4 linked regions of the Caenorhabditis elegans genome follow. The protein of the gene in region 2 interacts with the protein of the main gene of each other region in a pairwise test. Each region holds a gene or a part of one and is shown on either strand. Other genes may lie near its edges.

The links.
Region 1: the proteins of nfi-1 (region 2) and ing-3 interact in a two-hybrid assay, tested with the Caenorhabditis elegans proteins (one large-scale study listed by BioGRID).
Region 3: the proteins of nfi-1 (region 2) and gex-3 interact in a two-hybrid assay, tested with the Caenorhabditis elegans proteins (one large-scale study listed by BioGRID).
Region 4: the proteins of nfi-1 (region 2) and taf-9 interact in a two-hybrid assay, tested with the Caenorhabditis elegans proteins (one large-scale study listed by BioGRID).

The regions. Positions count from the first base shown.
Region 1 is NC_003280.10:13,874,196-13,882,057, reverse strand, and holds the start of ing-3 (Inhibitor of growth protein), read right to left. Parts: upstream 6,025-7,862; 5' UTR 5,997-6,024; coding exon 5,969-5,996; intron 5,903-5,968; coding exon 5,831-5,902; intron 5,778-5,830; coding exon 5,674-5,777; intron 4,289-5,673; coding exon 3,764-4,288; intron 2,632-3,763; coding exon 2,017-2,631; intron 1-2,016. Other genes in the region: ndub-8 (NADH dehydrogenase [ubiquinone] 1 beta subcomplex subunit 8, mitochondrial), read right to left, coding at 6,840-7,041.
Region 2 is NC_003280.10:7,536,364-7,543,039, reverse strand, and holds nfi-1 (Nuclear factor I family protein), read right to left. Parts: upstream 4,761-6,676; coding exon 4,743-4,760; intron 4,341-4,742; coding exon 4,077-4,340; intron 4,022-4,076; coding exon 3,941-4,021; intron 3,886-3,940; coding exon 3,787-3,885; intron 3,732-3,786; coding exon 3,600-3,731; intron 3,544-3,599; coding exon 3,189-3,543; intron 3,024-3,188; exon of another isoform or gene 3,003-3,023; intron 2,774-3,002; coding exon 2,515-2,773; intron 2,466-2,514; coding exon 2,170-2,465; intron 2,128-2,169; coding exon 1,990-2,127; intron 1,726-1,989; coding exon 1,593-1,725; intron 1,546-1,592; coding exon 1,259-1,545; intron 1,210-1,258; coding exon 1,062-1,209; intron 882-1,061; coding exon 782-881; intron 664-781; coding exon 502-663; downstream 1-501. Other genes in the region: ZK1290.13 (MARVEL domain-containing protein), read right to left, coding at 6,114-6,368, 6,620-6,676. UniProt on the Caenorhabditis elegans protein: Probable transcription factor which recognizes and binds the palindromic sequence 5'-TTGGCANNNTGCCAA-3' present in promoters. Plays a role in locomotion, pharyngeal pumping, egg-laying, and life span.
Region 3 is NC_003282.8:12,402,663-12,409,205, reverse strand, and holds gex-3 (Membrane-associated protein gex-3), read right to left. Parts: upstream 4,776-6,543; 5' UTR 4,772-4,775; coding exon 4,660-4,771; intron 4,610-4,659; coding exon 4,509-4,609; intron 4,463-4,508; coding exon 4,313-4,462; intron 4,243-4,312; coding exon 3,871-4,242; intron 3,822-3,870; coding exon 3,773-3,821; intron 3,717-3,772; coding exon 3,503-3,716; intron 3,451-3,502; coding exon 3,141-3,450; intron 3,091-3,140; coding exon 2,349-3,090; intron 2,291-2,348; coding exon 2,066-2,290; intron 2,015-2,065; coding exon 1,193-2,014; intron 1,144-1,192; coding exon 1,031-1,143; intron 982-1,030; coding exon 766-981; 3' UTR 516-765; downstream 1-515. Other genes in the region: dsb-1 (Double-Strand Break factor), read right to left, coding at 30-148, 194-271. UniProt on the Caenorhabditis elegans protein: Rac effector required for tissue morphogenesis, cell migrations and egg laying. May play a role in egg laying and in yolk protein clatherin-mediated endocytosis by oocytes during oogenesis.
Region 4 is NC_003281.10:13,622,363-13,626,519, forward strand, and holds taf-9 (Transcription initiation factor TFIID subunit 9), read left to right. Parts: upstream 1-1,913; 5' UTR 1,914-1,921; coding exon 1,922-2,065; intron 2,066-2,120; coding exon 2,121-2,404; intron 2,405-3,418; coding exon 3,419-3,542; 3' UTR 3,543-3,645; downstream 3,646-4,157. Other genes in the region: mlc-5 (Myosin-2 essential light chain), read left to right, coding at 961-1,038, 1,087-1,223, 1,274-1,380, 1,496-1,602; T12D8.5 (uncharacterized protein), read right to left, coding at 3,670-3,963, 4,006-4,054, 4,102-4,157.

The sequences.
Region 1 (7,862 bases), 6.3 Mb from region 2:
TTTTAATCTAGGTTGAAACTTACTGATATTTTTGTGGTTTTTATTACTTTTTTTATTTTCCAACAAAAAAAAACAAACAAACAAATCTACCATTTTCCCATAATTTTTTCCAAAATTTCAACAAAAAATTCTAATCTAAATTTAAAAAACATATAGCTACAAAAGTGCTATAAAAAATTTACATTTCAACCAAAAATCTTATAAACTGAATTTTCATCGAGACCATCACCAAAAAACTAATTTTTGACCAAATTGAGTGCGAAAAATCGAATTTCCATCAAGAATATTATAAAACATTTTGTTTTCTTCGAAAAAATTAGAATTTTCCAGGCAAATTCTATTTTTTGTAGTTTTTGATGAAAATTCAACTTTTTTTAAATATATTTGTGTGGCGGAAATTTACTTTTTTGCATTACTTTTCGAAGAAAACAAAATGTTTTATAATATTTTTGATGGAAATTCGATTTTTCGCACTCAATTTGGTCAAAAATTAGTTTTTTGGTGGTGATGGTCTCGATGAAAATTCAGTTTATCAGATTTTTGGTAGAAATGTTTTTTAAATTTAGATATTAGAATTTTTTGTTGAAATTTTCAGACTTTCTGTATTTTGTTTTAAAGGTTTTTGGTGTAAATTTCAGATGGATGGATGTAATTTGTAATATTTGTGGAAAAAAACTGAGTTTTCACCGAAAACAGTGCGAAAAATGAAATTTCCACATTGTAATTATTTTAAACAATTTTTTAAAAATCATGTTTTCGTGTTTTATGTTTTTTTGTGTTTGTTTCCATTTAATTTTTCTAATTTTTGAAATACTTACAGTGGAAATTCAATTTAATTTTCGAAATCTAAATTTTTCGTATTATTTCAGTTGCTTTTGTAATTCAAGAGCATGTTTTTGTGGAAAATCAATTTTTAAAAATATTTTTCTGATGAAATTTTAATTTTTCGGGATTTTTTTAAAATGAAAATTCTATTTTTTTTGTAAAATTTTTTGATAATAATACCAACAAAAAATCGAATTTTCACCAAAAATATAGCAAAGTTTTGCAATTTTTAGGTGGAAATTAATTTTTTCGCTCAACTATTTCGAATTTTTGTAACACATTTTTTGGTAAAACCGTTGAAAACGCAGAAATTTTGTTGATTTTAGCCTAAAAATAATATAAATTGCAACTTTTTCCAATTTTTTGGTGAAAATTCAATTTTTCTGAATGTTCGTGAAATTTTTCGATAAAAATGTAAAAAAAAGCAAAATTTTGCATTTTCTGGTAGAAATTATTATATATTTTTCGCAATTTTTTGGTGAAAACTTCATTTTTGTGATTTTTTCCAAGGAAACACTCTATTTAACAATTTTTAAGCATTTTGTTGTGGTAGAAATTCAAATTAAAAAAAAAATAATTTTCGGTTAAAAATTAACTTTTTTCGTACTATTTTTGAAACAAAAATTTAATTTTCGGTGCATTATTTCTGATTTCACTTTTTAAACTCAATTTTTGGTGGAAATTTGAATTTTTTGTACAATTTTCCATGAAAAAATATGAATTTTCATCAAAAATTACGAATTATTGATTTTGTGCTGGAAATTTGAATTTTTCGCTCAATTTTCGATTTTTTGAATGGAAATTTTTTTTTTTTTTTTTAATAAGATCTTTGATAATCTTTGACTAACCAAAAAAGTGAATTTTCACCGCAAATATAGCAACATGATTTTGCAATTTTCAGGTAGAAATTATATATTTTTCGCACTGTTTTCTCGTGTGAAAATCCAAATTTTTTGATTTTTTGAATGGATGGAAACTCAATTTTTCGCACTATTCGAAGAAAAAAAAACAGTAATTTTCTGCATTATTTCTGATGAAAATTCACATTTTTTAATCAATTTTTGGTAATAAAAAACAACAAAAAAAAATCTAATTTTTTTTTCGCACTATTTCTGCTGGGAATTTGAATTTTTCGCTCAATTTTCGGAGAAAAATTCAATTTTTCCCTTCATTAAAAAAGCCCACACTAACATGACGATTATCACACTGAACCATATCTCCATAGCTCTTCTCATTACAAAAACACCAATGCATCTCATCCTCCTCATCCTCCGATCCCGGAGCCATCATCGGATGGCTCCGCTTAATCCGATAACTCGGTCCTTCCTCATCATCATCCTCGGCGGCTCCTTCAATCTCCGGAAGTGGTGATTGTGGTGAAGAGCTCGTCGGAGCGTGAGCGTGCTGAGCCGCCGCCGCCAGATTCGCCGCACTCATTCTCTCCTGTAGTGCTATAATTGAATTTCCATGATTCCGCTGCCGCTGTAGAGTCTCCTTAAACATCTCCTGAACTCTACTGGTCAGCTTCCGAGTTCTACCATGACGGCTCTCAGACACCACAAACGCCGAATTCTGGAGAACTGGAGTCGTCGGCGAAACGACGATATGCGGTCCTGAGGAGAACGTCGGTGTCATCAGTAGGCTTGTCGTCGGCGTCGGTGATGATTCGTCGATTCCGGCGTTTGACCAACTACGTTCGGAGGGATTCGGTGAGAAGCGGGATGTCGATTCACCACGATTCATCATTGATGAAAGAGCACTTGGAATGGAGACTGTGCCGCGGAGAGCATTTGTGTTTGAGCGGCGCTGAAATTTGGAGAAATTAGAGAATTTTTAGTTTTTTCACTCCAAAAACGACTGATTTTCGTGAAAATAATGGCGGTTAGGCTGAAAAATCAGCCTATTTAACGGTTCGGACGATTTGGAACGTATAGACCCAAATTTTGTGCTCAAATGAACGAATTTCATACTGAAATTGCTCAAAAATTCTTCAAAAATGTTTTATGGCGCTTCAAAATTTCGAAAACTTACACTGATTTGAGTTAAAATCTCGAATTTTGGTCATTTTTCCGTGTCTCGGCTGTCCGAAGTTGGCTTTTTTTGGAAATATCATTCTTGATTGCATATATTGGTTTTAATATCTCATTTAATTTCGTTTATTAAGGTCTGTTTAAAGCCTATAGGCGACCAATTTTAATGATTTTTGGTTACCTATTGGCTTTAAATTTACCATAATCAATGAAATTAAATGAGATAAACTACCAAAATATGCAATGAAGGATGATAATTCCAAAAAAAACCAACTTCCTACAGCTGTGACACGGAAAAATGACCAAAATTCGAGATTTTAGCTAAAATCAGTGTCATTTTCGAAATTTTGAACCGCCATAAATACATTTTCGAGCAGTTTCATTACGAAATTCGTTCATTTGAGCACAAAATTTGGGTCAATAAACCGTTAGTCCTCCTGTAAATAGGCTGATTTTCCAGAAAATCATGGCGGTTTGGCTTAAAAATTAGTCAGTAAAGAGCCAAATTTCGTTTAATTTTGAAAATTCGAAACAAAAAGTTAATTTTTAGCTGAAAACGGTCCAAAATGACCCAAAAACGGCCAATTTTCGTAAATTTTATTAAAAAATGTGGCGGTTAGGCTAAAAAAATAGTTGAAAAGAGACGAATTACGCTAAAACTCGAAATTTCGTCAAATTTTTCTTGTAACAACACCCAAAAAACGGGAAAATTTTATCAATTTTGTGAGGTTTTTGTACGATCAAATTTTGCGGATTTTAGGCTGAAATTCAAAAATGTTTGAAAAATATTATTTGAAAATTCAAAATTTAGCTAAAATTCGAAATTTCGCCAGTTCTTTGAACAGGAGGCCGTGGTAGGTGGGCTCCAAATTTTGCGAATTTTCTCGAATTTTCAGCTAGCTCCTCACCCTAGCCGTCGGTGTTGGTGGCACTGGCGTCAGACAATCATCACTGGCCACCACCATCGCCGCCGACGACAGCAACAGCTGATCCTTTGCGATCTTTGGCGGGCGCCCACGTGGCGCTGGTGATGGTATAGCCGATGATAGTGCCGATTGTGCCGACTCATCGGAAAGATCCATTCGAAGACGAACACCTTCCTGAAGGATCCGCTGAATTTTGTCCTTTGATTCTTTCGATAAAAGTGGTCCCGAAGCGACTGTCGATGCTCTCGACGACGATCCTCCACCACCACCACCACCGCCCACGCGATGACGACGTTTTCGTTCTTTTCTCGCTGTGAGCAGAGATTCGACGTGTTGGGTATATCGTTTTTCGATCATTTCGGTCACTCCTGAATTGTCGGCCTCCATTTCACACTGGAACGTGGTTTTCTCCTTTTCCAAGTGAACTTTGTACTTTTTGAGGAGTTCTTGCATTTTTTCGGCGATTAGATATTTGCGTTGAGCTAGCACGCGGATTGTGGAGAATTCCTGAAGAAAATTGGTTGCAATTTTTTGGGTTTTTTCAATTTTTTTTTTGTGAAAAAGCAAATTTTTGAACTTTTTTTTTCATTTTTTAAGAGAAATTTTGCCATTTTTCAGCTATTTTTGTGATAAAAACTTTTTTTTGAGCTTATTCAACGTTTTAACGAGAAATTTTGAAAAAATGGTTGAATTCTAAAATTTTTATTGAAAAAAAAAAGCAAATTTTTGAGCTTTTTTTTACTTTTTAAAGAGAAATTCTGAAAAATTGGTTGATTTTATGATTTTTCGGGGGTTTCGACTTTTTTTTTGTTGTGAAAACAGCTAATTTTTTTTTATAATTTCGGCATTTCCTTCACTTTCAACGCGAGAAAATCTGGAAAATTGGCATTTTGGGATTTTTAAGCTTTTTTTTTTTTTAAAAGCTAATTTTTCAGCTTTTTTTTTAAAGAGAAATTAGAAAAATTGGCTGATTTTTTGGGATTATAAGGTAGTTTTGGGGGAGAAAGCTTTTAAAATTAATAGAAAATGCAAATTTAGGGTTTTTTTCCAAGAATTTCGGCAAAATTGGTTGTATTTTGAGATTTTGAAAGTTTTTTTTAGAAAACCACGAAAAAAAAATTAGAAAATGCAAATGTAAATGTTTTTTCCCAAAAATTAGTTGAATTTTCAATTTTTTTTCGTGAAAAAAGCTAAATTTTCAGCTTTTTTTTCACTTTTTAACAAGAAATTCCGAAAAATTGTCTGAATTTTGCGATTTTTTGTCCTGTTTTTTAAAAAAGATTTTCAGTGAAAAAAGGAATTTTTTCGACCGTTTTTTTCCGAGAAATTCTGAAAAATTAGCGGAATTTTGGGATTTTTTCGCGGAAAAATGCTCATTTTTTGAAAATTTCGGTATTTCCTTTATTTTTAGCGGAAAATTTTGAAAAATTGGATGCATTTTGAGATTTATAAGCGTTTTGGGCTAATTTTTGCGTTTTTAAGCTATTTTTGTGAAGAAAAAGCTTCAAAAAACGATCAAAAACGACAAAATTCTAATTTTAGGTTTTTTTCCGAAAAGGTTACAACTTGGTCGGATCTTGAGCAACTTTTTGAGTTTTTCGACCTCATTTTAGTGTTTTTAGACGTCATTCACTTTGAGTATTTTTGAGCACTTTTGGTGTTTTGTGGGAAAAAAAAGCTTAAAAAGTGAAAAAATGACATCAGGCAAAGTACAAAAAAATCCCATTTTTTCTCATTTTTCTTCACGAAAAAGCTAGAAAAACGGGTTTTATAGCGAAATTTCTCATTTTTCACGAATTTTAGCCGTTTTTGTGGCAAAAATCAACTTTTTCCTGCGTTTTCGTGTCAATTTGCTGCCAAATTCGAGTTCCAGGAATTTTCATGAAATTCACCTCCTGCAAAACCTTGCAGCGCTCCTTTCTCTGCTCCTCGGGCATATTTACGCCGGTTCTCTCGAAAAAATCGTTGATCGCCTCTCGATTACGGTTTAGACGGGCTAAAAATTCGAAAAAATGAAGGGAAAAATTCAGAAAAATTTCGAAATTTTACATTCAACTTCATTGTCGATTCGCCGAATTTCATCGCTTCTCTCCTTCAGCTCGGCAGGCAGCTCATCGAGCACTGGAAAACGTTGAAAATTTGGGTGTTTTTATAGGGGAAAAGTTTGCAACAAAAAAAACCACTTACTTTCTAAAAAATCATCGAGGAAGAGCATTTTGTGCGGGGGCGTCCAGCGCCGAGTTCTGAATTTTTTTTCCAAATAATTAATTAATTAAAAGTGGAGTAGCGTAGCGCCAGTGGGAAAATTGCTTTAAAACACGCCAAATTCAAAAAAAAATTTCTAAATTTTATATGATTTTTTGAAAATTGAAAAAATCTCAGTTTTTACCCCTAATTCCTATTTGAATTTCCGCCAATTGAACTCGTTCGTTGGAGCGCCGCGCTTGCACGTTTCTAAATTTATTTATTTTTTGTTATTTTCCACCGATTTTTAATGTTTTCGGTGTATTTTTGCTTGAATTTTAGAGAAAAAGTCGAAATAAATGCAAATTTTCGAATAAAAACCATGCGTACAGACCGAAATCAGTGAAATTAATTAATTTTGTCATTTTTACGCCTGTAAGCGTGCTTTTTAATCGAAATTTAGCATTTATTTTGACTTTTTCTCTAAAATTCATGTAAAAATACACCGAAAACTAAAAAAAATTGAAAATCGGTGGAAAATAACAAAAAATAAAATAAATAAACTTAAAAACGTGCAAGCGCGCTCCATCGAACAAATCCAATTAGCGGTAATTCAAATAGGAATTAGGGGTGAAAACTGAGACTTTTTCAATTTTCAAAAAATCATATAAAATTTAGGAATTTTTTTTTCAATTAGGCGCAATTTTAAGCAACAAAAAAAACGAATTAATAGGTATAAAAGCGTTAAAAACGCTGAAAAAAGGGCAAAAAAAAGGCAAAAAAAAAAATGATAAAATTCGAATATTTTATAGTACAAAAAAGGAGAAAACGGAGAAAACTACCAAAAAAAAAACAACCGAAACTAAGGAATTTTCTATTCCAAATCAAACGAATAGTTGACAATTGGGTATTTGCGTGGATCGTCGAACGGGTAGGCACGGTAGAAATCGTATGAATACTGCTTCGGCATTGCCGGATTCTTCCAACGGAGCGCGTTCGGATGTTCGTTGGTAAAGTACCAGGCGAGGAGAGCCATCGGTACGAGCACGCGGAGGCACATAACGATCGAGTTCCAGCTGAAAATTGGATAAATTAATTAGAAAAAAAAAACAAAAAAAAACAGCCTAAAAATCCGAAAATTAAAAAAAAATCGCAAAATTTAGAAAATCCACATTTTTTTCACCGAAAATACTAAAAATCGCTGCAAAAATTCAAGAAAATCCGAGAGATACGAAATCGATAAAATCGGTAGATTTTTTCGCTAAAAATCGGTGAAAACCCGTAATAAGAGGCAAGAAAATCAGTAAATAATTTGAAAAATGTCAAAAAAATTTCCAGGAAATCGAACGAAAATTCTCAATTTAGTGAAAAAATCTCAGAAAATCAACTGAAAAATCCTTTAAAAAATTTAAAAAACCTGTGGAAAATCCGACGAGAAATTCAAAAAAAATCAATGAAATTTCAGGAAAATCAAAAAAAATTCGTCATTTTTTTAGCCAAAATACGAGAAATTCCTCTTTTTTTCAAAAAATTATGAAAAAAACTGCCTAAAAATACGAAAATCCACTTTTTTAAGGGAAAAAATTCGGAGTTTTATCAGAAAATCGGGGAAAATTATGAAAAACTTAAGTTTTAGGGCGAAATTACCCGAAAAATCTGCGAATTTTCGGATTTTTATCAGAAAATTGGACTAAAATTCGCATTTTTCAGCGAAAAATTCGCTTTTTTATTAGAAAATCGGAGAAAATAATGAAAAAAAAACTGGCTGAAAATCAGAAATTCCGAATTTTTACCTAAAAATAGTGAAAAATTATGGAAAAAACTGCCCAAAAACCCATAAAATACACATTTTTCAGCGAAATTACCCAAAATCTGTGCAAAAAATCAATTCAAAATT
Region 2 (6,676 bases):
TTCTTTTGAATCTATGTTGTGCTTCACGACTTGATAAAAATTCAAGATTCATTAAAATACGTTTTAAAAATTAAATAATCTGAACTACCCACACAAGAAATGCAAACATGAGGTTCAAATACGCAAAAAAAACATAAAAGGAAAACACTGGGAAACTGGAAGTGGTGATTACAATTGTGCATAGCTACGACGTTTTTTCAAAGTTTTTCAGATTTACAAGATAAAGAGGTGACGGTGAAGAAAAGAAAAGGGAAAATGTGTGGCCCCGTAAACAATTGATTTTTTTGTGGATTTTGGTTTTCAAAAGAGGTTCGGAAAAATAGATTATGACGTCACAGACGGAGAAAATGTTTTGAAGATTGAAGAAAAATGAAAATAATAAAAATAACAACTAGTTTGAATAATACTAAAGAAGGACTAGGTTTGATAACTCTAATTTTTCAATTGGTAACACGAAAGGGATAAATAAAACGAATAAAAAGATTAACAGGAATATCAAAATCATTTTTTCTCATTACGAAGAGCATGTGAAAAGTCAGTTGGCAGCTTTGGAGCATTCGGATCTTGTGGAGTATTTGAGACCGGTGCTTGATTTGCAGCTCCTAGAGATGAATTTGATGATGACGGGGAGCATGCTGGTGGAGCTCCAACGCTAACACGAATCTGGCGATGAATTACACAATTAAAAGCTTACATCTTTCGATTAATTATTTTCGTAAGGTGTTTTTCAGAATAATTATAAAAGCTGCTGATTATAAATGTTTATAAAATATCAACTTACTTGATGAAGAGGTGACATTGCATTTTGAGTTTGCTGGACGGCCAGTGCAATATTTTGAGGAACGGCCAATCCCATTGCTACACCCAACGAATTCGATCCGCTGAAGAAACTTTTTTTGGTTAGACAAGACATTGATTTTAGATTGAAATTTGAAATTAATAAAATTTTCAAGCTTTTGGCCAATTTAAAAAAAAGTATATATTTCTGGAAAGATTTTTTTAAAATTACATTTTATTTTGATACATTATTTTCAGAAAAAAAACAATATGGTTCAACTTACTTGCTTGCAGAACTATCCGGACGATGAATCGAATTACCAGGAACTAATCCACTCACAGCTCCCATTGATAATGCCGAAAAAGCATTTCCACTACTAAGCAATGGAGATCGAGAATTGGTATCAATAAGATGTTGAATGAAGCTATCGTCTGTAAAAAAAAGCAATGGGATGATAGTTCAATGTTCATAAAATCATACTTAAAGTTGTTCCGTCATTACTGTGTGCAAGTTGTCCAAGTACATTAATCAATGAATCATCTTCAAGCATTCGAAATGAAGGAGTTATACGAGGAGTTGTGATGGGTGATGGAATGATTGAATTACATCCTGACATAATTGGTTTCACTGCAACTGGAGCAATTAATTTCACTGATGAATCAACTGGTTTCGATGATAAGATTGGTGGTTGGATTTGTGAATTACAGTAGCTCGTGCTCGGTTGATTATGTTGCAGATGTTTCTCTTCGATCTTTTGGAAAATTTTGCTGAAAAGAAAAAATTGTTTAACGATGATCGGGATACGATGCCAAACCTGAAGCTTGTTGTATCTCCGCGTGCTGTTGTGAATTTTGTTGGGCTTGCCATGTATCCACTACTTTCTCTGCTGATTAGATTAGAAACAGCAGTGTGAGTCGGTGAAATATCGCTTCCTAAAGCTCCTTCATCTGAAACAAAAAAAATAAATTCAACTTTTACTAAACATATATTCTTCCAAAACTACGATACCAGGTCTCATCACGACAAATATTTATGGAATACACAAATGTTTGCGCCTTTAAAGTGTACTGTAATTTCGAACGTTTGTTTCGTAGATTTTCCATAGACCGGGTACCATATTTTTTTAGCTTTTTAATATAAAAAAGTTTCGTGTTTGAAAAATATTAGTAATTTTCGCGAGAATGAGGGTCACGTATACAAAAACAACTAACTTTTATTCATTTCCTGATTGCAATTCAAAAATTCAAATGAATTGCTCGTATGCGGATGCATTCTTTTTCTGCCAACTGGACTTTCTCGCATCGATGGTGTCGTTCGAAGTGAGCTCAATGCATTCACTATATGTTGAGCTGAATTAATATGATTTTATTCATTAAAATTATCGTGCTTACCATGAATCACATGCTCCCGATTTCTTTCATCAACAACAACGACTCCAACATCGCCATGATTTCCAGTATTCACTGTCATTCGACAAACGGGTTTTGCTGTTGAACGGAATGCACCCGGACTCCTCGCAGAATCTTGACTTTGAAAATCGGGAAGCGGTCTCACTTGCCGACTCGTTCCGGGAGCTCCTTGATTTTGTTGTGTACGAGAGAATTGGCCTGGTGCTGCCCATATGGAGCTTCCGAGTACCAATTTTTCCGTTCCACTTTCCACTATCCGCCGAACTTCGTCGTTAGTGCTGAAATAACTGTGTAAATATTTATATTAATTATTTTTTCAAGTTCTACCTGGAATTAGGAGAATCATGCGATGATATATCCCGACTTCGTTTCTCTGAAGGTCCATCGTTGGAATCCTCCGACATATCCATTTGTTGAGAATCAGATGTTCCCGCGATGGGATAAGGAAAACAATTTTGAATCGGAGGAGGTGGTAGACATAGAACAGATCTTTTTGCATTGAAAAAGTTGTTGTCGACTGCGGTTTTGTTAACCATATACGTGTTTCCCGCAGAAAGAGACTGTTGGGCAAGAGTAGCACGACCACCTGAAAATTTATTTTAAAGTTTGGAATTCTTATTGGAAATTTGCAATTTCGAGCCAATAATATGCAAAAAGGTGTGCTCAAGGAGTACTGTAATTTCAAACTCTTGTTTCTGGGGAATTTCGATTGAAATTGAATATAAATCTATGAAAAATAGAGGGAGAGGGAATTTCTAAGCAACGAGAGTTTGAAATTTTGGCACAAAAATCGCGTTTGAACAGTTTCACAAAATTTTAAAGCCCTTGACAATTTAACATATTTATAAATTAATCAAAACGATTTATCTGCGTCGCAAAATGGATATATTTTTATTTTGAATAAAATTGGATTTTTTCGCTGACAGAATGTCATGGTGAATTCTCAATAGCTTTCAATTTATTCATTGCTTATAGAGAGTTTTAGAATAATTTAATCTTACCAAAATAAGTATGGCAAGCTTTCTGTGGATCATAAGTGATAATGATTGTTTCCGCATTTCGTTCGGAATTCGTTTCCCAGACACGAGTATGAGTAGAACTTGTGCCAAGAACTGCATGAGGAGCTACAATTGTCTGTTCACCGGGCTCTTGCTTTACCATCACTGTATCAGAAAGTTCATCATTTCTCGGATAGGTCAATGTAATTTTAGTGTCAACGTCTTTCAGATAGTTTGCCATAAAAACGTCAAGACCGCGAACACTAATCGCCATATGAAAAGGATTTATGCACAGAGGGTGGACACATGCCTCGGATCGTTCGAGACGCTCGCCGTCGGTGCTCTCGAGAGGAATTCCCTGAAAAATATTAAATTTATTTGAAGTATTAGGCAATAGGATTTTTAAAAACTCACTTTAAATAAAATAATAGTAACCAGATCAAGCCTCCAAACTTTGTCAGCTTGGCGTAAGCAATCAATTCGCCGCATTTTCCCTTTCTGATCAGCAACTGATATAATACACTTGTTCGGCTCACTTCCATTGATCTAAAAAATTGGTTTCGCCTTATATTAAATCAATTATAAATATTGAAATACTTACAGCCGAAATAAACGCTTCTTTATCGTCATTTTGAATATCTTTTTTTATTTTTCCCAAAAGTCTGGAAGCCCATTTCACTTTTAATTCATCTCTATCATTCTGAAATGCAAACAATTTTCTTTATGATTTTTGTTCATATTTATTCGTATTTTACTTGTAATTCTGCTAATTTCGCGTTTTCTTCACTCGCACACATCTTCTTATCAAATTCTTTGAAGTGCCGTCGTTTTGCTGCCTGAAAACAGGGGAATGAAATTGAAAAATTAAAAATTATATTCAATAATTCCTACCTGCAGATGAAACCAATTATAGGCACTTGCTCTGACAAAAGGTAGAAGTTGTTCGACAAATGGTCCCATATCTTCCTGTGAGTAAGGACTGAAGCATTTGATACCATTGGCTTTCGGACTCACGGCTTCTGGAGAATTGAATTGATTACTCCAATCAGAAGATGGTGGAGGCATTGTCTGCTGTGCCTGTGAGTCTTGAGGTGCTTCTGATGTTGAAGCTGTTGCACCAGTGGTCGTCGAACCGCTGGCGGAGCTGACATCGATCTGAAAAGTATTTTGAGTTTATTTCTTTGTTTGATATACTTATACGAGTTTTTTTTTTGAAATTTCAAATTAATAATCAAGTTTTCTTTTTTACCTGAGATTCCATTCGTATAATTTAAAATCAAAAGTATCTACAAAAAGAGTTTATATTTTCATATATAATACTGCATATAGGAAGAGATAGCCTTTTGATGATAGTTGGTTCATAGCAACAGCAAAAATACTCCACAAATTTAAAGAGGCGCAGATAAGGAAACAAGCGAAAAGATTTTGAATGAATAGAATCACACCGCCCGTCGAGCGAATACTCGTCAAATTAATCGATATGAAGACCGGCATGTGTGTGCGAGGTAATTATTTGCAGCGAACCTGCTGCAAAATGTTTTACAACAAATAAATTACCTTGAGATGCGGCTCCATTTTATTCAAAAAATCTCCCAGAGCTGGAAAAAAATCGCAATGCTGCTGCGATCGGTGTCCTGGCTTGTGCTCAGATAATCTGCATTCTGAAACACTTAAAAATCGATATCACAAATTGACAAGCGTTAAAGAAGAAAAAAGCGGCACCGAGCGCAAAATATCATGAGAAAATAAATGATTGAAGAAGTAAAATATTTTTCGAGATTAGTTTTCTGTCGAAATAATAATAAACACTGGCAACAATTTGAATTAAATGAATTCTCGTTTAATCAATTTTATTGAGCTTATAGAAACACTTCTTCTGATTCAAATATATTTTTGGAAACTTTATAAATTTTTCTGCACATTCATCTGCTCATATTTTGCTCTTTCATAGCCAATATTAAAAATACAGGTGGTCTGGGATGCGCTGCGAATCAAACTACGGTAAATTAACTATAGAGCAAAAATGCGCAGAGGGTCGTACAAATACTAGTCCAGCGGCCATATTTCAAACGGAATTTTCCGCGCGAAATCTTGATTAACTGACAGATGACAATTAATTCTTAAAAATTAAAATGAAGATTATCGAATTTTTGAAATTTATTTATTAATTATCAACAAATAAAAAATTTAACGAAAAATCTCAAGCGATCTGTTCAGAAAAAGAGAAAACTCATAAACAAAAAAACAAAGAAGAAAGTATCGATTAAATAAAACGGCAGGTCTCGCAACGATATTGTTAACTATTGCAAAATGGTGCGCGTCTTTAAAAAAGAGTACTGTAGTCTCAAACCTCCGTTGTTGCGGAATATTTATCGGTTTTTCATAGTTTTTCTCAAGGCTTGTGCTTAAAGAAATGTTGTTTCATTGTTATAAAATTTTTAGCAAATCGTGAGAAAAACTATTAAAAATCGATAAAAATCGCACATCAGTTTAACGTTCGAAATAGCTGAAAGTTTCTTGCGAACATGTGAAAAAACAGAAATTTCGTTTTGTAAAAAAACATTTTGCAACATACAGAAAAAGATAACCTCGAAATTTATTTTATTCATTTGTTTGCTCCCTCGTTCCATAAAAAACAAAAATCATGTGACATCAGTTCTATAGCATGCTAAATACAATGCTCAAGTCGTCAGTTCAACAGTTCAAATCAAACAAGTATTAGAGTTTAATAATAACACGTGGTGTCAGGATCCCCCGTTACGCTTTGATCTACAGAAAATGCGGGATTTTTCCTAAAAAATGTGACGTCAGCACGTTCTTAACTATGAGAAATTAGTTGAAAAGGCTGCGCCTAAATTCCTGCCGTTCTCGTAGATCTTCACATGGGACATTCTGACACCATGTCTAATAACATAAAAATAACTAGAATCAAAAAGCAGATTCTTCAAATCTTGACAATGAATTAAACTTGGATGCAAGACTTGCATCTGATTGATGAACTGGATTCTTAACTGTTCTTCTTGGAGCAGGAGAAGGTTCCGGTGTATACTCTTCAACTTGTGCTTCTTCTAGAATTGCCATTCTCTTTGGTTTTGGTGGCCTATTTCTATAGGCTACAGGGTATGCTGGTGAGGTGCCACCAATATTTGAAATTTCACTTTCAGTCCCATCGAATGTCTCATCCTAAACGAAATTCTATAACTACAAGCCATACGTCACAATTTTTTGAATTGGATCTGCTCATTAAAATTTGTGATTTTTTTTTAATGCAAAAAAAAGTTATTCAACAAACAGATAAAATTGATTACAAAAATGTTTTCTGATGTAAGATTCTCCAAAAACTTAACATTTATTGACAAATAGTATTATTCTGTTTTCTACACTATTTTCTGAATAACTCAGCTCAAATTGTTTAATTGCCTTATTGACACCACCTGAACAGATTGCTCAATGGATTCATGCTGCATTTTGAGAACTTGAAAATACGTCCG
Region 3 (6,543 bases), on a different chromosome or scaffold from region 2:
CTTTAATTTCTCAAACAACAAAGACTCACTTCAAACTCGGATACCTAGAAACTTCCATGTTACAATAAACGGTCTCGATCGGCTCGACTCCATGAATAACCGTCAGCTTCCTGCTATTCACCTCCATAACAACGCGAATATCTTTGCCCTGCAAATTTAACTTTTCGATACAGAATTCATCTATTTTTAAAACCTCTTGTCGATTACCGCTTCCTCTCAATTGCTTATACTTTATGATCGGCCACTGGAGTGTCTGCAATTCAGGAAACATACTGAAGAGACTGCAAAAACATAAATAATTTTTTTTTACTAAAAATGTCTAAAAATTTCGACCTCATTGGACCTCAAAATGTGAAAAAATTCAAAATTGCATGCCGGTCGTGGCGAGACCCATCCATCACTTTTACGCGCGAATTCAAATTCAAATTACCAAGCATATCTAATTTAGCTAATTCTCGTTTTTTTAACTTAAAATTTAATCGCATTTATGTAATAGATAAAATAAAAATTTTTGATAAATTGATAAAAAGTTTATTATGACGACAAACTGCAATAAATTAAAGCCAAATGGAAGGCAAAATGAGTACTTGGGAGCAATGATTCACACGAAAATGCAGGGAATAATAGTCAAAAAGGCGGTATTCGGAAGCGGGAACCCGTATAGTAATGGTTCGTTGAAGAAAGAAAAATAAAATAAATAAAATACAGGCACAGGAAGTATGTGAGAAGGGATCGTAGCTGTACATATTGGGATCGCAGATAAAATTATTGAGCATCAGCCTCGTAGCATTGTTGGTAGGCTGTACGGACGAGATTATATGGGAAACAGGTTTCAAGAACATCCATCGACAGCCAACGGTTTTTCCGAACCATCTGTTCAAGGATAATGTAGAGAGTTGTGTGGGAACGAAGAACGTCGTCGGATATTTGTCGACTGTTATCACGTTCATGAATAGTTCGTAGAATACCCGAGGACGCGAGCTGAAAATTTTTCTAGGTGAGAATATGTGTTAATAATGATAGAGCTAACCGCCAAGAACTCCTTCATCCTCGACTGGATATCATTTTGCTCGTGGAGATGGAAAAGAGCTGATCCGATAGTGTTAATCGCCATTGGAACACAGTGACTATTGTTCAAGCTGGCTGAAATTGTTTATTTTTAATTTTTGCAAAAAGCTGTAAAAGTATGTACCTTGAATGCTAGGCTTGTAAGACGAAAGATCCGACATTCCAATTCGTGGAATACAGATAGCGACGGCAACCATCAATAGACAACTATTAACATAGTGTTCTTGAGGGTGAATATTCGGATTTTGAGCACGAACCGCATTCACCAACGACATATCAACTGGTCCTGTGACTCCCATCGCAGCTGACATTTCTCCAATTTTAACTTTATCAACATCGTCCAAATTGTGATAAAGCATATCAAATGATGCTTGAAGAAATGGCAATTTAGATTCGACGATATGACGAAGAGCATCGTGGAGAGCATCACGAAACAGACAAATCTGTCCGATAATAATAGTTCTTTGCAGAATTGCATCAGCTGCGCATGTTGCGTTCGGAGTTTTCTTGTCCTTTGGTTCGACGCTCAAAAGATTTAAAACATCCTTCATCTTTTCAGCATTATCGAAATTAGATCTAGCAATCTGTAGAGCATCTTTGTATGTTGCAACAATCTTGCTCATCTCCATAATTTGACTGGCCACGTGCCAAATCAGCCGTTCAGTCATCAACTTTACTCCATAAGGTCCGATAATTTGAACCAATGCTCTCAATTCTTGAGGATCTGAATAATGATCGGGCATGAACGAGAGTTGTTCCTGTCCTGATGATAACATTGTTCGTAGATGCTCACTCCAAACCATATGACCAGATGAAGCACGACGGAGCAAAACTTCGAGATACCATTTCGTGTAGAGTGCTGCGATTGTGTCTTTATTCTTGGAATCAACGAGTTGAGTTTGTTGTAGAAGAGTTGTTTGCATTGTATTACTGATATCCACAGAAACTGAAATTCCATTTATGAGAATATTTATAGATTATTTTAAAAACCACTTACTTGCTGTATCAAGATTTTGAAGAACCGTCATGTAGGCTTGTAGCGCAAGGAGCATTTCACTTGGTCTTTTTGGATTACTTGCATGTGGTTGACCTTCCCAGAACATTCCATGAAGCAATTCTACAAATTTAGTTTCAAGGGACTGCGCTAGGTACGTCCTCGGTGCAAATGTGTGATCAGCAACGTAAATTTGACGATGAGCTCCGAGAGCTGCAGAGATTTCAACTGAAAAGTGGGAAATTTGTGATATAAAATCTAATTTAAAAAACGTTTTAAAACTTACGAAGAGTTGTTTGCAACTTATCAGGCATTGTTAATGCTTGACGATCAACTCGATAACTTTCTTCTCCAGCAATGAAATAATCTCGAGCGGCTGCTGCGGCCGCCGCTGCAGCTTTTCCAGATCCTTTCTGTTGAACAACTTGAGCAACAACTCTTACAGCCACGGCGCTCGGTGTCATTTGATAAGCTAATCCGAATTCATGTTCAGCCACTTTTTCCAGGATATATGACAATTGTTTGCACGTCTCTTCAATTACAGAATTGCATTGAGCCAAGGCTTTTTCAGTGATAAATGCTTTTTCTTCAGGACACATGTCATGGAGGGCGCTTGTGAAATGCGCGGCAAGACGTGCAAAACTGAGCACATATCGAGCTTGAGCAGGTAGCTGGAGACAGTTGAGCCAATGTTTTTCAGCGAGTTTTGGATAGAAGCAGTATAATGATAAATCACTTGTTTCCCTTAGCATCTCGTCTTGCAAATCGATCATTTTCAGATGAAAAACTGAAGTATTCATGTATATTGCGAGTTTTTTATGTCTTGAAAGTTGGAAATGGCTCCGAGCAGCAGATGTCCAAGCTTGAAATCTAAACCAGTCTAGTCGAAGAGCACGAAGATCCGTATCAGAGTTGATATTTCCTATTTCGTTGGCAAAATCGGTCAAAAGAACCGCTTCTTCCTGGGTGAGGCCATTTGCTTGGTTAATCTCTTCAGAAACAACAATTGAATCATAGCTAGACACGTACTGAAAATAAAAAAGATTTAAAATAGATAAATTTAAAGTTTTAACAAAACCTGTAGATAGTATCTTTGAATCACTGCATAATATTTCGTAACGAGATCTCTTAATTCCAGCATATAAAATAGCAGTTCTGGAAGTTGCCTGTCAACAAGCTCCTCGACCATTCTGCTGCCTTTTTTGCTGATAGCAGGAACTTCAACTTGATGCCGTAGAAGCCATATGACCTCATCTCTTCCTGCTCCAAGAGCCATCCAGACATAGAGAATTTTCGGGCCAAGTAGTCCGGGCTGATCTCGTAGTAAAAGTGACAGCTCTCGAAGAGAACTTCTAAGGAAGCGGCGACGGTCTGCGTGGACGGCAACTCTGAAATACAAATTATTAGAAAACGCTTTGTTTATCATATTTTTTAACTTACGCAGTAACAGATGCATGATTGAACGCATCTTTAACATCTTGTAACCGTTTGCTTTTTTCTTTGGAAGATTCTAAAAACGCTTGAATCTCTTGATGAACAATAAATGTTTCGTCTCGGAAAACGCGAAGACACAGATTCATTTGAAGTGCCAGCTGCCACATGTGCCTAATGTTGTCATCGTTAAGAAGAGTTGAATGGCATACTGTTCCGCAGACTGAAAATATTACAATTTTAATAAACATTTTAATACTAATTTGTATATTAACTTACACACAATCCATCGATCAATGACGTCGAGTGATAGATATTCGCATGCAATCTGAAACGATTTACATAAATAATTTTCCATTAAATAAAAACTTGCTCACAGTTTCTGTTTGAGCAGCATATAAAATTTGTGCTGGAGCAGCGGTCAACGAGAAAACATTTGATGTTCTCCATGAATCTGCTGTCTTGTTTCTGCGCTGATATGTGTGTGTAACAGAAGAAAGAGCTGAATAAATTAGCCTGTTCAGTGGTCCGAGATCTTCATGAAGCTTTTTTAACGGATTTTCATAATCAAGAATCATTTGTCCTAATCTTGGAAATGATGCTTCACTTTGTCCGTGTTGTAGATCATATGCCGCATTAAAAAGTCCAAGAACAGCTTTCCGGTCTTCAATTCTTGATAAAAGAATCATCATTGTGACGAGATGTACAACAAGATTCAAATAACTCGTTGTCAGGTCGTAATTGAGCGTCTAAAAAATAAAATTTTAGCTTAAACATTATACGAACGATATAAATATTTAAAATCAATAATATACTCACCACATCCAGCTGACATTGACATGATTCCATAGTTGTCAAAACTTGCATAATGTGATCTTTTAAATCAAGAATATCAGCAAATGTGTAGTAATATAGCGATAAAGATTTTGTAATTTCCGTGGACTTTTCTTGTACATATTCGAACGTCGACTGAAATTAATTTCGGCATGAGAAATCAACAATTTGAACTACTCACTGAATTCGATCTGCAATCAACAACAGGAAACTTTCTAACTATATGTTTGATTGCACCTTCCATCTTCTTGTCGCTAAGAAATTGTGGTTTCACTTTTGAATCTGAAATCTTCAGCATTTTATAACAACAGAAATTTTCAAAGACTACTCACCGCCGCTTGATTTCTTAATATTGTATATCCGTGTCATCATTCCAGCAGCACGATCATTCAGTATCACAAGTTTTTCAGCAATTTTCACCTGTCTGGCATCTTTGTAAGCCATTTTGCTGAAAATTGGAGAGAAAATTGAAGGGGAAATGAGTCACAAATTGGATTACAGTTTAAAGGCGCATTCAATTAAACAAGAGGTGTCTCTCACCACGGCTGTGCAAGCATGCTCTATTGCGCTCTTTTGTTGGCGGCAGTTTGAACGAGAGAGGGAGACCGTTATAAAAAATGTAGACCACGAAAAATCTAGACCACGAAAATATTTAAAAAAGCTATTTTCAGACAGATTTTCAGGTTTTTACAAAAGAAGTTTATTTAATGGGGAATAAACTTCTTGTTTTATTGCAATTTGTCACCGCAGAATATGATCTAGATCACCGTGAATGGCACTGACGAGGTTCAAGAACTGGAAAAACGAACAAAAAAAAATATTTGGAATGTTTGGAAAAAAAAAACATAAAATCAAACTGAAGAACTATTCACCAAATATGTTGCTTTTATGAACTTTCAAGCTTTTTGTGAACTTTTGTGTCGACTTTTCTTAAAAATCATATTTTTCCAAATTATTTCCCCACTTTATGTATAGTGATTGTTTAGTGAGAAGAACAAAAATTCCTTGTAAATCCCTAAATACAGACAGACAGTTTCACATCCAATTACGAAATATTTCATTTGATATTTCCAAATATTTCCAATTTATATCTCTTCGTCCCTCCGTGGCAGCTTAGTTCATCAAACCTTTCCACCGTCGATTCGAATCGGCTTTCTTATCAGGTCAAATGCTATAGATAGCTGGTCTCTCTCCCTCTCTCTCTCTCTATCTCTCTCTCTCTGATAGTCCGAAGAAATTCTCACATCGTTTACAATAGCGAACAACACCGAAATGGCTGTAGATGGAGGAGAAGAAGAAGAAGCATGAGACCAGCAAGGATCGGGAAACTGTGAAAGAGAGAAACGGGTTTGACGAAAGGCCGGACGGATGGTTAGCCTCTCTTTCTCTCCCTCTTTCCCGGGAGGCCTTCCTTTCATTCAAATGTTTCCATCGCTTTTCGTTGAATACTTCCACTCACTTTTGTTACTTCTACACATTTTTCTTCATTTCATATCTTTTTATGAAACTTTTTGGATTCAAAGTTTTCACTTGTTCGTTTCATTTAACTTGCAAAAAAAACAACTATCTTCATCTTAAATCTGTCAGAAAAGGTGCGAAGTCATCGCATTCATACAGCTTCTCCATCTTCTACAGCTCGCCTCATTCAATCTATTCACTGTGTCAAACGTGTTTCTAGTTTCCATATGTCTATACAACTTTTATCTCTTCCGTTCTCTGTAATACAATTATTTTCTGTTCTTTTGAATCGTTTTACACACATTGCGTAATACCGATCGAACAGTTTCTATCGGGTCCTGGCACGCGCGGAATTTTTCAACTACCGTACCTCTTTGATTGTTTCGTTAGTTGAAATGTTTCGATCGTGACAAGACTCAAGTTGGTGATTTTAAATTAAAATTCAAAGTTTTTGATTTAAGTATTTAATAGCATAAACTTTGACAATGCTGCACTGATTTTCCAAATTAGGCTCCGCCCATATCTTGGCTCTTTTGAAATTTTACATTGCATTTTCTCGTACTTTACTTCTACATAGTCTACGAACACAGAATAGATACCTAAAATAAACTCAAAAATTCCATACTTTTTGAAACTGTGCATGGCAAGCTTTTGACCTAAAAGCTTATATCTCATAGTCAGACATTTCAGATGCTATCCAGGATTCGTCAACTAATAAGATATTCATCTTAAAAGTTTCCAATTTTCTTAGTTCAAGA
Region 4 (4,157 bases), on a different chromosome or scaffold from region 2:
AGAGGTGTTCCGACTACGCAAAGAGGGGATTTAAAGTGAAAAATAGATAAATACCTGATAATTTAGATCAAAAAATTAGAATAACGCCTTTTAAACCAAAAAACTCCTTTGAATTATCGAAAATTCTAGAAATTCTCGAGAAAAATAAATTTCAAAACAGGCATATTCTGTGCATTTGCGCGTGGGATCTAGCGCCCGTTGTGCATTGCGCCATGGCATTTGAAATTGGCGCCCGAAAATTTTTTGTTTTATATCAATTTTTTGGCTTATCGATAATTATCCTTGAAATTCTGCAGAAAAATAGATTTTTCTGTAAAATTTCGCAGGAATTGTATTCAGCACGTAATGTGCATGGTTTCCGTGGCAACTTGGGCGCTCTTTGCTTCTCTGTGCTCTATGCTCATGCCGCAACTCGAAAATTCGAATTTTAATTCTAATTGCCCTCTGTTAACCCTCTTTTTCCCGCCGGATAACCTCCAAACTATTGGTATCTTGTCGATGAATCGGTGAGAAAAAGTTCCGAACAACAAGAATTCGGGATGTTGTTCTTCCTCGCGTCTCCACCATCTCCACACACTCTCACGCGGTTGAACGGACAGTCAGGACACCGCCGCGCGGGGAAACTGCCCGTTTTGGTCGTCTCTTCTGCTGTGTGTGTCTACTATTCAAATAAACTCGCCAATCGATCGCCATTTCAGTTCATGTGCGGTGAATAATGTGTTGTGAAACTCGTTTTTCTCGGGAAATAGCCGAGAAAGGCTGAATTTTTGCTTGAGAATTTCTGGAAGGCATGAAATGTTTTCAGCTCTCTTCGAAAATCTTCTACCGCCCACCCATTTTCCTCCCGAATTGTTTCGTCCCCGTGACTCATTCTCTCTTTTATCGCCAACTTCTCACTCACTGATAATCGATTTTCGTTTTCATCCCGTCTTCTCAATTTTCCAATTTCAGCTGTGAGAAATGGACGATTTGGCTGATTGTCGTGAGGTTTTCGCCTATTTTGACAGCAAAGGCGACGAGCGAATCTCTGTTCAGCAGGTTTTTAATTCAATATTTTACTTTTTTAATCCAAAATTCATATTTCAGGTCGGTGATGTGCTCCGCGCGCTCGGCCAGAACCCAACAGAAGCCGAAATTCACAAATGTGTCGGCTCGTTCGATCGGGAAGCTCGGCTTTCATTCGAGGACTTTGTCCCAATTTTCCAGTCGGTGTCCAAGAATCGGTTCGTGGCGAATTTTCAGTTAATAAATTTCAATTTCTACATAATTTCAGTGAAAAGCACACCGTTGAGGAGTTCGTCGAGGGGTTGTCGCATTTCGACAAGGAGGGAAACGGAATGATCAATGTCGCAGAGCTCCGACACTTGCTCACCACTCTTGGTAGGATTTTGAGTGAATATTATCAAAAAATTAATATATAAGTAGCTTTTCAAAAATGTTCTGCTGGTCTATACAATTTTAAAGTTTACCCCAATTTTATCAATTTTTTTTCAAGGAGAACGCCTATCCGATGAAGACGTCGATCAATTGCTCTCCGGACACAACGATTCTCACGGAAACGTCAATATCTCGGATTTCGTACGCGCTGTCATGAACTCCTAAAAAATAATCGAATTCAGCTGATGTAAATATATCATTTCCATTAATTTCCTCGGCATTTTCCACACAATCTATTTATTTATCGACTTTTTTGCATCCGTTAATTCTATTTCTTATTCGCTCTCTCCCAGTTCACCAAAAAAAACTTGCAACGATTCAGTGAACAACTTTGTATCCTCCGTGTTTTAAGATGAATTTTTCTAAATTTTAATTCTAATTTCATAATTTTTGTATTTCGTGTTACATCTCACATGATATTTCTGTATTTCCTCTCCGTTATTTTTGTGGGGAAATCCATATAATTGCATTTTCAGAAAGAAAAATGGCAGATACAGGAGAAAAAGACACAGAAACGACGGCAAGTGGTACCGATGGACACAGTAAAGAGGCGCTTGCTGTAATAAGCATGCTCCACGAGTGTGGAATTCAAGAGTTTGATCCACGCGTCGTTTCAATGCTTATGGATGTGAGAAAATACAAAATTGAGCTCTAAAAATTCAAAAAATAATGATTTTTTCCAGGTTCAATACGCAGTGACGTCAAAAATCCTCCAAATGTCAAGTGGACTGTCCAGGCATGCTGAAAAAGCGCAAATCGAGGCAGAAGACGTTCAAACGGCGGCCGACATGCTCGGCGTTCTGACCACAAACGCTCCGGACCGTGAGAAGATTCTGCAATTGGCGAATGACAAAAATCAGCAGCCCCTACCGCAAATTCGACACAATTATGGCCTGAAGCTGCCCAACGATCGATTCTGTCAATTACAGCAGAATTTTGTGTACAAAGCTGACGACAGTTATCAGCCGTACGTTTTTTTTCTCGATATATCTTGAAAAATCTGTAAAAATTTGATTTTAAACGGAAAGAAGGTATTTTAAAGTGGAGTACGACCAGTGGGGAAACTATTAAAAACCATTCCTATGGTTCAAAAATGACAAAATAACAATAAAAACTCACAATAGAACTTTTAAAAAAATTATGATACTTTTCCTTTTTTACACCGCATTTTTAAATGAATATTCAAAACATTGAATTATTCAAATTTAATTCTCACGTGAATCATTTTCAGGCTTATGGGGTTATTCAAGTAATGTAGCAAAATGTATTTAAATACATTTGTGACGTCACAAATGTATTTAAATACATGTTTTTATATACTTGAATACAGTTGTGACGTAATTAATCTACACTTTTTAATTTTCCGACACTACTTGAATAACCCCATTAGAAAACAAAATTACAGAAAAAGTTCACATTTTTATCCAAGAAAATGTTCCAGAAAAATGCGGGGTAGAAAAGGAAAAGTACCAAATTTATAGAAGATTTTTTGTTTCAAGTAAAAAAAGGTGTTGTTTGGAGCCACCTTTCGAGAAATCGAAAACACTTTCGCATTTTCGTGCCCCCAAAATAATTAAATATGAATGCATAAGACATGGAATAAGTTTTTTTTAATCGATAACTTCCAAAAACATTTGTTAAAAACTAAGTTTTCACCGCTTTTTGAGCCGAAATATAAATTTTTTCCGAAATTTTCATTCTAAAAATTTACAGAAATTCTATATTTAAACTTGTCGATTTTCAATGCTTTTTGTGGCTACTGTCAGTTTCATTTGAAAAATATTGATTCAAATTTGCATTTTCATCTCAAAAATTGTTTTTTCGAATCAAAAATACAAAACCTTGACACAAAACTAAAAGTCACATATTTTCCGACAATATTCCATTTAGTTATTGTTTTTAAATCTTTATGGCATGCGTTTTTTTTTTCTGTAGTAAAATGAAATTATACATATCAAATTCAAAATTTTCAAGTTTTCAGAATGGAAATGCAACAAGTCACCCATCAGCCACATATCATCGAACCACCAACACAAGTGCTACGGCCGGAGCATGTACAGAATATGCTCAAGCGAAGAGCTCCAGACGATGATTTTGACTCATAACTTTTTAATTTTGTTTTTTTTATGCCATTTTCTACTTTATCTAATCAATCCTGCCAATGATCTCTATGAAACCCAGATTTTTATTTATAAAATTCAAAAATTTACACAATTACAATTCAAAAACAATTCAATTATCCCCTCCACCTGTCACCGCATTTTTCAGCTCACTCGTCGACTCGACAATTTTGTTGGCTGCCATTTTCAAATGATCGTAACGGCTAGCCTTACGCATTGGCGGAACCTGACCAGCTTCCATGTACGTTTCGGGTGCGATTTCCGGAGCATCCACGTGTTTATTGTGCTCGGCGAGCAACTGCTCAGCTCGGTCGATCTCCTGTTTCAAAAGCTCGACGCGTTCTTTGTTGGATTGCGTCTCGCTTTCGATTCGGCATTGCTCCTTGCAGAGGTCGTATTCGGAGAGCTTCAATATATCCAAGTTTTTGGCTAAAAATTCAAATCCTACCTGCTTCTGGGGCGGCACCACCTTCTGCACGTAGATAACCTTCTGTGCCCTGAAAAATCGATAAAGATGGAAAAATCAACCAATAAACTGGCTCACTTTGGTTTTTTCGACTCTCCGAGGCTACATACGGCTAGCAGAAAAACTGCGAGAAG